3 linked regions of the Elephas maximus indicus genome follow. The protein of the gene in region 1 interacts with the protein of each later gene in a pairwise test. Links are inferred from orthologs where the notes say so. Each region holds a gene or a part of one and is shown in the gene's direction. Other genes may lie near its edges. The genes, in order: THAP1, C2H1orf35 and GPATCH2L.

The links.
Region 2: the proteins of THAP1 (region 1) and C2H1orf35 interact in binary tests that used the Homo sapiens proteins (3 or more experiments, as listed by UniProt). The two-hybrid records come from large-scale screens. The link is inferred for Elephas maximus indicus from reciprocal best matches to the Homo sapiens genes THAP1 and C1orf35.
Region 3: the proteins of THAP1 (region 1) and GPATCH2L interact in binary tests that used the Homo sapiens proteins (3 or more experiments, as listed by UniProt). The two-hybrid records come from large-scale screens. The link is inferred for Elephas maximus indicus from reciprocal best matches to the Homo sapiens genes THAP1 and GPATCH2L.

Annotation. Positions count from the first base shown.
Region 1 is NC_064840.1:57,592,860-57,596,607, forward strand, and holds the start of THAP1 (THAP domain-containing protein 1), read left to right. Parts: upstream 1-1,227; 5' UTR 1,228-1,474; coding exon 1,475-1,545; intron 1,546-3,748. UniProt on the Homo sapiens protein: DNA-binding transcription regulator that regulates endothelial cell proliferation and G1/S cell-cycle progression.
Region 2 is NC_064820.1:232,588,385-232,592,132, forward strand, and holds the start of C2H1orf35 (multiple myeloma tumor-associated protein 2), read left to right. Parts: upstream 1-1,378; 5' UTR 1,379-1,387; coding exon 1,388-1,445; intron 1,446-1,566; coding exon 1,567-1,825; intron 1,826-1,930; coding exon 1,931-1,976; intron 1,977-2,105; coding exon 2,106-2,188; intron 2,189-2,442; coding exon 2,443-2,515; intron 2,516-2,737; coding exon 2,738-2,823; intron 2,824-3,748.
Region 3 is NC_064828.1:88,911,557-88,915,304, forward strand, and holds the start of GPATCH2L (G patch domain-containing protein 2-like), read left to right. Parts: upstream 1-1,304; 5' UTR 1,305-1,387; intron 1,388-3,680; 5' UTR 3,681-3,690; coding exon 3,691-3,748.

The DNA of each region.
Region 1 (3,748 bases):
CCTAAAGCACAATTAAAAAAAAAAATTAACCTGGTAATGAAAGGGATGTGAAGGGTGAGAAAGACATCCAAGCTGACTCCAAGGTTTCTGGCCTGAACTGCATGGATAATTTACAGGTAATGAGAATACCTAGGCAGAACGAATTTACATAAGAAGTAAAAGATTGAGGAAGTTATGGCATTTGATTCAAGAATCAGAGTGTTCAGAGTGCAAGGAGGGCAGAGGATTGAAACCCCAACATTTAAGAAGAGCAGAAAAAGAATGTACGAGCCATTAAATTAATCAGTTGCCCCCTATCCAGGCTTTAACCTACATAGAGGAGAGGGGCGGGTACGGGAACAGTAAAATCAGGGCTGAGAATCTGCATGTCTAATAAGCTTCCAGTTGATGCTAATGGTGCTGGTTAGCAACCAATTGTGAGAACCACCAGTTGAGCAGTAGTTCTCAAACTTTATTATGTAAGAATCACCTAAGGATCTCATTAAAATGTAGATTGATTCAGAATACCTGGGGTGAAATGGGTGGGTGGGGGTGTAAATGCAACTTCACAGCAGGGGTCTGAACCGGAACCAACGGGTTCAAAGCCCTGGGTAAAACCACTCTCCACGTGGAAATCGCTGCTGCCAGTGGCGATTTCCAAGGCAGCGCCTGGGAACCCTGCAGCAAAAGCCAGCCGCGGGAAACGGAGCCGCTTCCAGAGAAGTCCAGAAAGAGGATCCGGCTGGTACGTGGGGGCTGTGCGTGTGGCTTCTTTCATCGCTAAGAATCTGTCACATGGACTCTCACAGATCCTTGAGATGCCTGTACAGACAGGTAATAGGATACAGATTAGGGGTCAGAAAAGGGGTCCACAAAATCGTAAAATCGTCTGTGGCGTACCTTTTAAGAAAATGGGCTCAATTAAGACTTTGCTCCCCAGCCTCCTTTAGGCCACCAGACCCAACAAGCTGTACTGGTCCCACACTCCAAGCCGCCCCAGGAAAGCTCCGGATAAGTAAGTCTACGGAAACTCCACGACCGACAGGAGCTCGGCCCACGGCTCACCTTCGCCCAGCCCCTTCCCCGCCCCCAACGGCTCCCTTCCTCCCGGCAGGGATCTCGGAGGCCCCGCCCACTTCCGCAACGCAGAGCTCGCTGCGCGAGACGCCAAGCCTCAGCCAATGGCCTGCTCCGCAGGAAACGTTACCTCTGACCTCGGGGGCTAATCAGAGGCAGTGGGACGAACTCCTCGCGATAAGTGAAGTTGAAGCTGCCTCCGCCATCTTGGAGATGGGAGACGGGCGATGGCTGTGGTCTTTCTGCTAATGCAAACAACAAAACGGGCACATTAGTCACACCCGAGTGAGGCTATCATCACTTTATCTGTTAACCAAAGCTACAGAAGAAGCGAGAGTGTCAAAATCGACCGCGGGGATATTGATAGCTTCACCTGCCTGCGGTGGCGGCAGAAGTGAAGTGACTGAGTACCGGAAGGATGGTGCAGTCCTGTTCCGCCTACGGTTGCAAGAACAGATACGATAAGGATAAGCCCGTTTCTTTCCACAAGTAAGTACGCTGCGCTCCTCACGGGACATACCCCAGGTCGGGCTAGGGGCGCGCGGCCGTTTAGGTTCGGGGGCGGAGCCCGGCGCGTGCCCGCGCGAGGGGTAATGAGGCGGGCGGGGAGCGGTGGGCGTGTCCGGACAGGGAAGTGTTGGGGAAGCGCCGCTCCGAGGCCGGCGCTTTTCGGTTCCGGGCTGGGCGGTCTCACCGCGCGTCGCCATAGCGACCGTTTCTCGCGCTCTTAAAATCCGCGGAGAAGGCAAGAAGCGCTTGTGGCTTCGGGTTGGCGAGTTCGAGGCCGGCTCATAGCGACAGGGGAACTGCCCCATAGAGTTTCCAAGGAGTGGCTGGTGGATTAGAACTGCCGACCCTTTGGTTAGCAGCCATGGCTGTTAACCACTGCGCTACTGGGGCTCCACAAAAAACAAAATAGAAGTTACTGTTTTTGGTCCTTCAGAAACTACTGGGAACGGGAGGCCAGAATCACAACAATTGAGGATTAATTTTTGACTGGAGTTTTAGGGAAGATTTTTTAAAAATTGTACATATGTATGTAATAAGTCGCTTGCTATTTCAGCATGCTTTACAATTTCAACATGCATGTACTGTTTCAACATGTATGTACAACTCAATTACACTAGTTACGTTTATTATGTTCAACTATTACCATTATGCATTTCCAAATGTCCCATCACCTTTAACAAAAGTTTAGTATCTGAGGGAGGATTTTTTTGGCTCAACATCTGGGAACCAGCCTTCACTCCTGTCTGAGTCATCTAGTGCTGTTATAACAGAAATACCACAAGTGGATGGTCTTAACAAAGAGAAATACATTTCCTCACAGTAAAGTAGGCTAAAAGTCCATATTCAGAGTGTCAGCTCCAGGGTGGGTCTTTCTCCCTCTGTCGGCTCTGGAGGAAGGTCCTTGTCCTCAGTCTACCCCTGGTCTAGATGCTTCTCAGGTGCAGGGACCCCGGTTCCAAAGGACGTACTCAGCTCCTGGTGCTGCTTTTTTGGTGGTATGAGGTCCCCCTGTCTCTCTGCTTGCTTCTCTCTTTTATATCTCAAGAGATTGCCTCAAGACATAACCCAAACTGGTAGGTTGAGTCCTGCTTGGCTAACACAACTGCCGCCCATCCTCCCTCATTAATATAGAGGCAGGATTTACAGCATACAGGAAAATCACACAATACTGGGAATCATGGCCCAGCCCAACTGAAAACACACATTTTTGGGGGGACATAATTCAGTCCATGACAAGTCTAAAGTTTTAGAGAACACTTGTGGCACTGCTGAGATGAATAATTATCTTTACAGCACACAGTAATCGTAAAAATGGACAACAATAATAACCTAGACTGCAATAAAGTACCATAAAGTCAGTGTGATCTCTATGGGAGCATAGAGAAAGCCTTCACAGAGGAACGCACCGCACAGCTGAAATTCAGGACTATTTCACCCAGTAGGTGCCACAGTTATAGTACTACGGAGGAAAGTAGGAAAAGAAAACTGCAAAACTGAAATGAGGTAGTGTTAATTAAATGGCTAAAAAATGTGACAACAGTTTCATTCAGCCAAGATTAGTATTTACAGATTTTATTATGTTTGCATTATATATTTTTTTGCAAGAATTCCTGAATATATAGGGATGATACCTAAGAAAGTAGAGCCAATAGTAAACTATACGCATTGTTGAGTCAAATAATTACAAAAGCAAATATTTAAGCATGCCTTCAATTTAGGGAGAGGGGGCTGTTTATGTTTAATGGAGGACTGGATGGATTTTTCTGTGTTTGATATAACATGGGTTGGACCCTACAGAAATAGGAGTACCTAGAGCATAGTGTTGCTATGAATCAGAATTGACTCCATGGCAGTGGATTTGGTTTAGTTTTAGAGCATAAAAAGATCTTGAGAGTGTTAATATTTTCCCATGAAGAAGGGAATAGAACACTTCCAGAATTCAGTTCAGTAGATTTGATCAAGATCAAATCTCTTGATTTATTGGAATCTCTGAACCCTGATGAAATTGACCTCCAGTACTTTAAAATTATAGGAAGGGCCAGGAGATAGTGACAAGATGTCATGCATTCTGCCCCCACCTTCCTAATGATATGGCAGAGGGAATCTATACCCATTGCTGTCGAGTCAATGCCAACTCATAGTGACCCTATAGGACAGAGTGGAACTACCCCATAGGGTTTCC
Region 2 (3,748 bases), on another chromosome or scaffold:
TGTTTTCATTCTGCTGTTGACAGTTGCAACTAATGATTTTACAGTTCCAAATGAAGATTTTTAGGAATATTTTCCAACAGCTTTGTAGTTACTTCAGATTTTCTTCTCAGCATTGCCCCATCAGAACAAAATACAATGAGGTTTGTTTTTGAATATTCATTATTAAAGCCACAGTAATTGATGGTAAACCATAGTGTACTGAAACCATAATCCACTGTGGTGGATACCAGCTCTTTTAAAGCAACAAATAAGCTGACTGGCGGAGGCAGGCACTGGCCGAACTGGGCACTGGAGTGTAGTCACGAAATGCCTGGTGGTTCAAGTACCACGTCTGCCGTTCCCTTCTATGATACCTTTAATTATCTTCATCTTAATTCTTGTGATTTGTCCTGTTACTCTTGCTCTACTGAACAGCTGACCTTTCCAGTTCTCTTGAAATCTTATTGCCCCTCAATGCCAGGTAAAGCCTATTATGTTTTACTAAACCATGAACCGTATTAAAAACTTCTATGGTAGCATCAGTATTTTATTTAGTTTATACGCTAAACTGGGAATTGAACCATTTATTTTACAAATCTTGAACTTTAGCATGGGTTTTAGAAACAAAATATTCCTTACCTCTTTGTTCGCAGAGAACCTGCCTAGTGCCTACTGCCATTTGGAGTTACCAGGTAAATGCCACACGCTTTTCCCTGTCACTCTTAAATGCTGAATGGTTGCACAATTCTTACGGCCTAATTTACCTTATTGGATTTCAAGCCGCTGATGTATTTCTGTAAGCATAAATGCTTGCTTTTTATTCCAGCCATCTGGACGTCCAAGATTATTTCTTCCTTTGAATAGCACGATGATTTTTCTCCAGAGATGGGCTGTCCACCAGATTAGATGTGGCAGTCTGCTTCTGTAACGAATACACCCTTGGAAACCCTATGGGATAGTCCTGCTCTGTCCTACAGGGTCGCTATGAGTTAGAATCGACTAAGCGGCAGTGTTTTTTTCTTATTACCTTCTGTCACTGTTTTCACCTTTTTCACGTTAAAAAAACTTATATCGCTGTCATTTTGGCATCTTAGGGATCAGATTCTGAAATACAATTTTTGTGTTATTAGCTGGCGGTCAAGCCTCCCGGCCACCCCATGCTACAGAGCAGAACTGCTTCACAGGATTTTCTTGGCTGTAATCTTCACGCAGCCGTGGTGACACAACAGTTAAGCGCTCGGCTGCTAACGGAAAGGCTAGCGGTTCTAACCCCCGCAGCGGGGAGAAAGACCCCAGCGCCGTGCGTACACAGAACAGCCGAGCTGCCCCCTGGCGCTGGGGGCGGGACCTGGCGCGGGTGATGACGTCGCCGCGCGCGACGCGAGGGGCGGAGCCGACGGCGGTGCGGATGGCGTCACCGCGCGCGGCGCGGGGGCGTACGCTCGCAGGAGCTGCCGCGGCGGCCAGTGAGGGCGGGCGGCGGGCCCGGGCGGGCTGGGCGAGCGCGGGCTGGGCGGCCTTGGACTTGGCCTGGGGCTTGGAGGGACTGGCCAAGCGCGGACCTCTCTGTCCTCCCGTCGCCCGCAGCAGCCGCCGGCACCATGTTCGGCTCCAGTCGAGGCGGCGTCCGCGGCGGCCAGGACCAGTTCAACTGGGAAGACGTGAAAACCGACAAGCAGCGGGAGAACTACCTGGGGAACTCGCTGATGGCCCCCGTGGGCCGGTGGCAGAAGGGCCGGGACCTCACCTGGTACGCCAAGGACCGCGCCGGCCCGGTGGGGCTGAGCCGCGAGGAGGAGCTGGCGGCCGTGCGGCAGGCGGAGCAGGAGGCCCTCATGGCAGCCCTGTGAGTGGCCGTGCGGGCCGAGGGTGCAGGCGCCCCGAGGGCTGGGAGGCCCGGGGTGGGATGGGGGACCGGCCCCTCCTGAAGCGTGCCTTGGCCCCGTTGCAGAGGCTACAAGAATGTGAAGAAACAGCCCACAGGCCTGAGCAAGGAGGTAACGGGCCGAGGGGCCCCGGGCCGAGGGAGGTTCGGGCAGTGTCGGGTCTGAGGTCGGCAGGGTGGCCTGGGCGGGGTGGGAGGCGGCTCTGGGGCCTGCGAGGACCTTGCCTTTCTCTCCCCACAGGACTTTGTCGAGATCTGTAAGCGGGAAGGAGCAGACCCTGAGGACAAGGGTGTGGACCGGCTCCTGGGGCTGGGGAGCTCCAGGTGCGGGGACAGGGGTGAACTCTTAGGGGTCCTCCTGGCGACGGGGTCTGTCAGGACTGGGACTTGCAGATTAAGGACCTGAGGGAGATGTCAGGGATCCGCAAGTCCCAGAGAAATCGAGGGCAGGGCTCCTCCCCGTGGGCCCTGCCAGGTGCCCAGGTGAAGCAAGTGCAGCAGGGCTGCAGGGCCTCCTGACTGGGGCGCAGCTCGGCCTTCTTCCCACAGACGCATTCCCTCCTCGTGTGTTCTTACAGTGGCTCCGCCGGCCGAGTGGTGTTGTCCAGAGAAGACAAGGAGGCTGCCAAGCTGGGGCTGTCGGTGTTCACAGTAATGTCCCCTCCCCCAGAACACACCAGGAGCCCATGCTGGCAAGATGGGAGGGGCCTGGCTTCCCCTGGTGCTGTGGGCCTGAGGCAGGGTCCTCTCCTCTCTGGGGGCATTCCCAGTCTCCTGACTTGAGAAACCTGGGCTTGGATGGCCTGGAAGCATCTCAGGGTTGTCCAGGCCTTCTCCTGAGTCCTCACCTGTGGCACTGGCTTCCCTTGGCAGCACCAACGAGTGGAGAGCAGTGGGGCAGAGACCTCCCCAGCCTCAGCCAGAAAGAAGCTGCACTCTGAGGAGAAGGCGGAGCCGTGGTAAGGGCCTCGCTTACGCAGGGTCCACAGGCAGCATACCCACACTGCGGGATGCTGGGTTTAATTTCATACTTAAAATTTAATTTTAAGAATTTCCATATTTGGGGCCAGGCCACTTTAAGCCACACCCCAGAGGCTCCAGAGCAGAAGTTTGAGTAGCACAGAATTGAAGTTTCTCTTCGCACATCTGGTTGCTAGGAAATTCTGAGCCAGATGGGCAGGCTGCCTGCTTGCGGTAGAGTGGAGGACGTGGCTTTTGCCCCTTCCCATGTTTTCTCGTTGCCTCCTATTTTGTCATCTTGGGAACCCTCTGAGTTGTTCCCGGATGAGAAGGTCAAGTTGCAGGCATACTCAGTGTGGTCCTGGAACGGCCCTCCAGCTCCAGCAGAGTCAGGTGGCCACTCTGGCACGAGGGCCGAGGCTGAGTCCTGGCCAGGGAGGGCCCGTGCACCCAGCCCAGAGGTGAGAAAGGGCCCATAGGTCCGGCAAGGAGTCGTGTGTGGCAGCAAGATGCTCAGAGTCCATGTAGAGAGTGCAGTGGAGACAGGCTGAAGGCAGGTTTGAGGCCAGGTGGTAGTGAAGGCCCTGTACTGCCAGGCTGCACTCTCGTGCCTGCTGTGTGCCAGGCAGTGCCGGGCCGGGCTGCACAGGGTGGTCAGCAGACCTGCACTCAGGCAGCTTGGAAGGGGGGCTGGGTGTGTGTGGGATGCGGAGTGGGGTGAGGGTGCCCAGGGCTATACTTAGTGGGCCAGTGTACTGTGCCATGACGGGTATGTTCCTGCCTGCACTGTCCACAGTGGAGCTGCTGTTCATGGAGACTTGAGAACTTGAAATGTGGCCGGTATGACCAAGGCACTGAATTTCTCATTGCTTTCACTTAGTTGGAAACCCTGGTGGCGTAGTGGTTAAGTGCTACAGCTGCTAA
Region 3 (3,748 bases), on another chromosome or scaffold:
CTGAAGTATAACAGTCATACAGAAATGTACACCATCCTAAATCAATGACTTTTCATGGCATCAAATATTCTTCCACAGCATCAATTTTAAAAGACTGCAAGGTATTCCAGCTCATAATTTAGTTAACTAGCTCTTGTTGTAGCTTTATCTTTCACCCTCCTCCCCTACAACACTGCAGAGATGAATCTACTCACATTTAACACTTTTGTGCCCATTTCTAATTCTTCCTCAGAATAAAATTCCTAGAAGCAGAATTGCTGGATCAAGAAACATGTGTATTTTCTACTTTTTAAATTTTAGGATAGTTTTAGATTTATAGAAAAATTGCAAAGATACTGCACAGTTCTCTTTACTATTAACATCTTACATTAGTATATTACACTTGTCACAATTAACCAACCAATATTGATATGTAATTATTAACTGAAGTCCATTCTTTACACATATTTCCTTAGTTTTTACCCAATATTCTTTTTCTGTTCCAGGATCCCATTCAAGAAGCCACATTTATCTGTCGTGTCTCCTTAGACTCCTCTGGGCGGTGCCATTCTCATCACATCATATCAAGGCTGTATACTATGAACATGACTTATCACTGTTGATGTTGACCTTGATCACCTACCTGGTTGAGGTTGTGTTTGCGACTTTACTGTAAAATTACGTACTTTTTTTGGCCTCTTTTCATACAGTACCCTTTGGAAAGAAGTCACAGTGCACAGCCCAACTTAAGGAGCTGGGAGTTATGTTAATTATCGGTATAAATTATTTATAATGCTGCACAGGAAATGTGTCTCTTCTCCCCCATATATTTATCCAATCAATCATTTTTTTATATCACTATGTACTAACGGTTATTTCTACTCTATTTTTGCTCTTCAAGGCATGTGTAACTTTAATGCAAAGGTATCCTTGCCATAGGTTGTACCAACTCTCACGGTTAAGAATGAGAAGCTCCATTTCCCCCAACTTTACACAGCCTTTATAAAAGTAGGCCAGCAAGCAAGGGCGAGGCCGATGCTCCTCCCTAACACCCAATTTCCTGACGCCTCCAAGAAAGACGCGACTAGCTCGCTGAAGTCTTTCCTCGGAGTAACACCTTAACCCAGGAGAAGCACCTCGCACTGCTCTCCCCTATCGCCGCGCGTCCAAGCCCCTTCGCGTAGCTCCCGGACTTCCTACGGCTCCGCCCCTAGAGGGGCGGAAGTGGGCGTGACCGCAGGGCGGAAGCGCTGCCCCGGGGGCGGTTCTTCTCGTGCACCTCAACCCCTCCCACTGGGATACCGCTCCACCCCTCCGGCCCACACCGGAAATGAGATCAGAGAGGGAAACCCCGGCGGGCAGACTCGGCGCAAAAAGCGGCGGCCTGAAGAGGCGGTTGCGGCAGCCGGTGAGGGGGAGGAGTGGGATGAGCGGGTCGGGATTCAGAGGACTGGTACCAGCGGGGATCAGGCCTCCGGGCCGCCGGGGCGGCTAGGGGCTGAGCGGCTAGGGGCGCCAGGGGACTGCGACGGCCGGCGGGAGGGGCGGTGGTGGCGGGGCCTTGCATTGCAGGGCCCATTGCCCCCATCCCGGAATGATAGGGCCGTCTCTGGGGTGACAGTCCCCTCTTCTCTCTGTATTCTACCTCTTTCGGGCCGGCGACAGCGTGAGGGCTTGGTGTCCCGAGCCGTGGTCGCCCTGTCCCACGAGGACGGGTCAGGGCGTGGGTGAGAGCCCCCCAAACCCGCTTTTCCTCACATATGTGGCCATGTTGCCATCCCCGAACAGGGAGGGAGTTCAGCCCCCAGAACTTGCCTGTTGGCGGTTTCTGACCTAGAAGGGCTGACCTCTGCCCCTTGTGATTGAGCCCAGATGAGAAGTTGCTGCCTGCTTCCCCACCTCCCCTTCACCCTGCGTCTGCCTCTCTTGTCACTTGGTGTCCACCAGCTTCCTCTTCCTTCCTGCGCGTGACTCAGACAGGCTTACCTCTCCCCCCGGGGGCTGCCAGGACCCGGGAGGTCCGCTTGGAGTCTGCACCGAGACTGGAAGCGTGGGAGCCTCAGGCTTCTCCTCGGTCATCGGCTGTTTGCATTGCAGCTTTTGAGTCAGGAGAGGATTCTGAACAGGCATTCAATTAGAAGTTGTTCGGATAACTTTGGTCCACGTTAAAGTTTGTACGGTTCTGCCCGAGTTTTTAAGGTAGTAGTTCTTTATTGGGGAAGTAGATTTAGATTTGTTTAGCTCATTTGGGTTTTAAGGTCAGTTGTCTCTCAAATACCAGTCATGGCATTCTAAACCGCTTCCTATTACTTAAGGGGATGAAGTCTTTTAGTGTGTGTGACTTTTGACATTTTGAGAAGTTATGTTTCGGGTGGTTTTGGAACTCGATGTTCTCATTGCTTCCACAGATGTGGCAGATAAGCCAGCCTTTGAATTCGTTGGCAGAGGGACAGCATGAAAATAGGTCTTAGAAAGCCCTCTGCAAAATGTAAACTGCGTGAACGGAAATATGGTCAGAGAGTGGCGCCACACAAGGTTTTAAGCTCTAATTATGCTCCTGAAATGGTTTGGGCTTAAGGAGAGCTAGGGAAAAAACGATAATTTAATATGTATTATAATTAGATGTTGGACAAATTATGTTAGACATTTCCCATTAAAAGGGAATTTTGAAAATTGCTCATGCTACTCTTATCCTTTGAAGGTTTGAATCTGAAGTGACCCCTGAAGCATGATGGTTTGATGAGAATGAGTAGGAAATCTTAGAAGCTGCACCCTATCCCTGTCATTCTATCCTCGGTAATTTCCCGTGTTTCCGTAGTTGTGTGGCACTAAAGCATTTAATTGGGGTGGCTATTTAATTTATTTTTTGAAAGATGGGAAGAGGAGCTTAAAAGTTGTTAATTATGACAAAATACATGACATATTCTATAAGGTACTATACCTGGTAGCTAGCTGCCAGGTGGTAGCCTGGACAACAAAATTCATGACATAGTCTATAAGGTGCTATACCTGGTAGCTAGCTGCCAGGTGATAGTCCAGACTAAATGGATGTAAACTTAGTCTCTTTTTTCCATTCTGAGTACAAAGTCTTGGATCACTGCAAAGTCACGACAGTCTTGGATCACTAAAACTGCAAGCAGTCTTCCTTAGAGTATGTCACTAAATTGTCTTTTTGTTCCTCACCACCTAGATTCTCACCAGTGACCCCAGACCACAGAACAATCAGTTCTCCAGCCATTCTCACTGTCATGTTGAGACTGGGCCTACCCTGTGGTACCTGACCCCTACCCTGGTTTTGAAGTTGTGTGTTTTTGTACTCCTCTGATGAGTTAGTCTCGGATCTTTTTGAATCTCATTATCATGTAATTCAGATGAAAGTTTTATTGGAGAAAAAGGGAAAGACCTATTCCCCTGAGTTTGCTTGTTTTTGCTAATATTCTGGTTGTCACCTGGTGGGTGTTTGCATTTTTGTGGTTGAGAACATGTTGACTTCAGGCATTTCACAAGGGTCAGATGCCTATTTTTAGTGGCTTAGGGGAGCATGGGTGGCAGGAACAGAGTGTAAGTGTGGCTGGATGAAAGGCAACTTTATTTTCTATAGACCGGGTGGACTCTGCAGTGTTATAACCTGTTTTATAAAATTATTCTAAACCATCAGATCCTATTCAGGCTTTTCTTTTCTTTGAATTTCCTTTTGGCAGATGTGGCCTCATGGATGAGCTGGTACATGACTTGGCCTCAGCCTTGGAGCAGACATCTGAGCAGAATA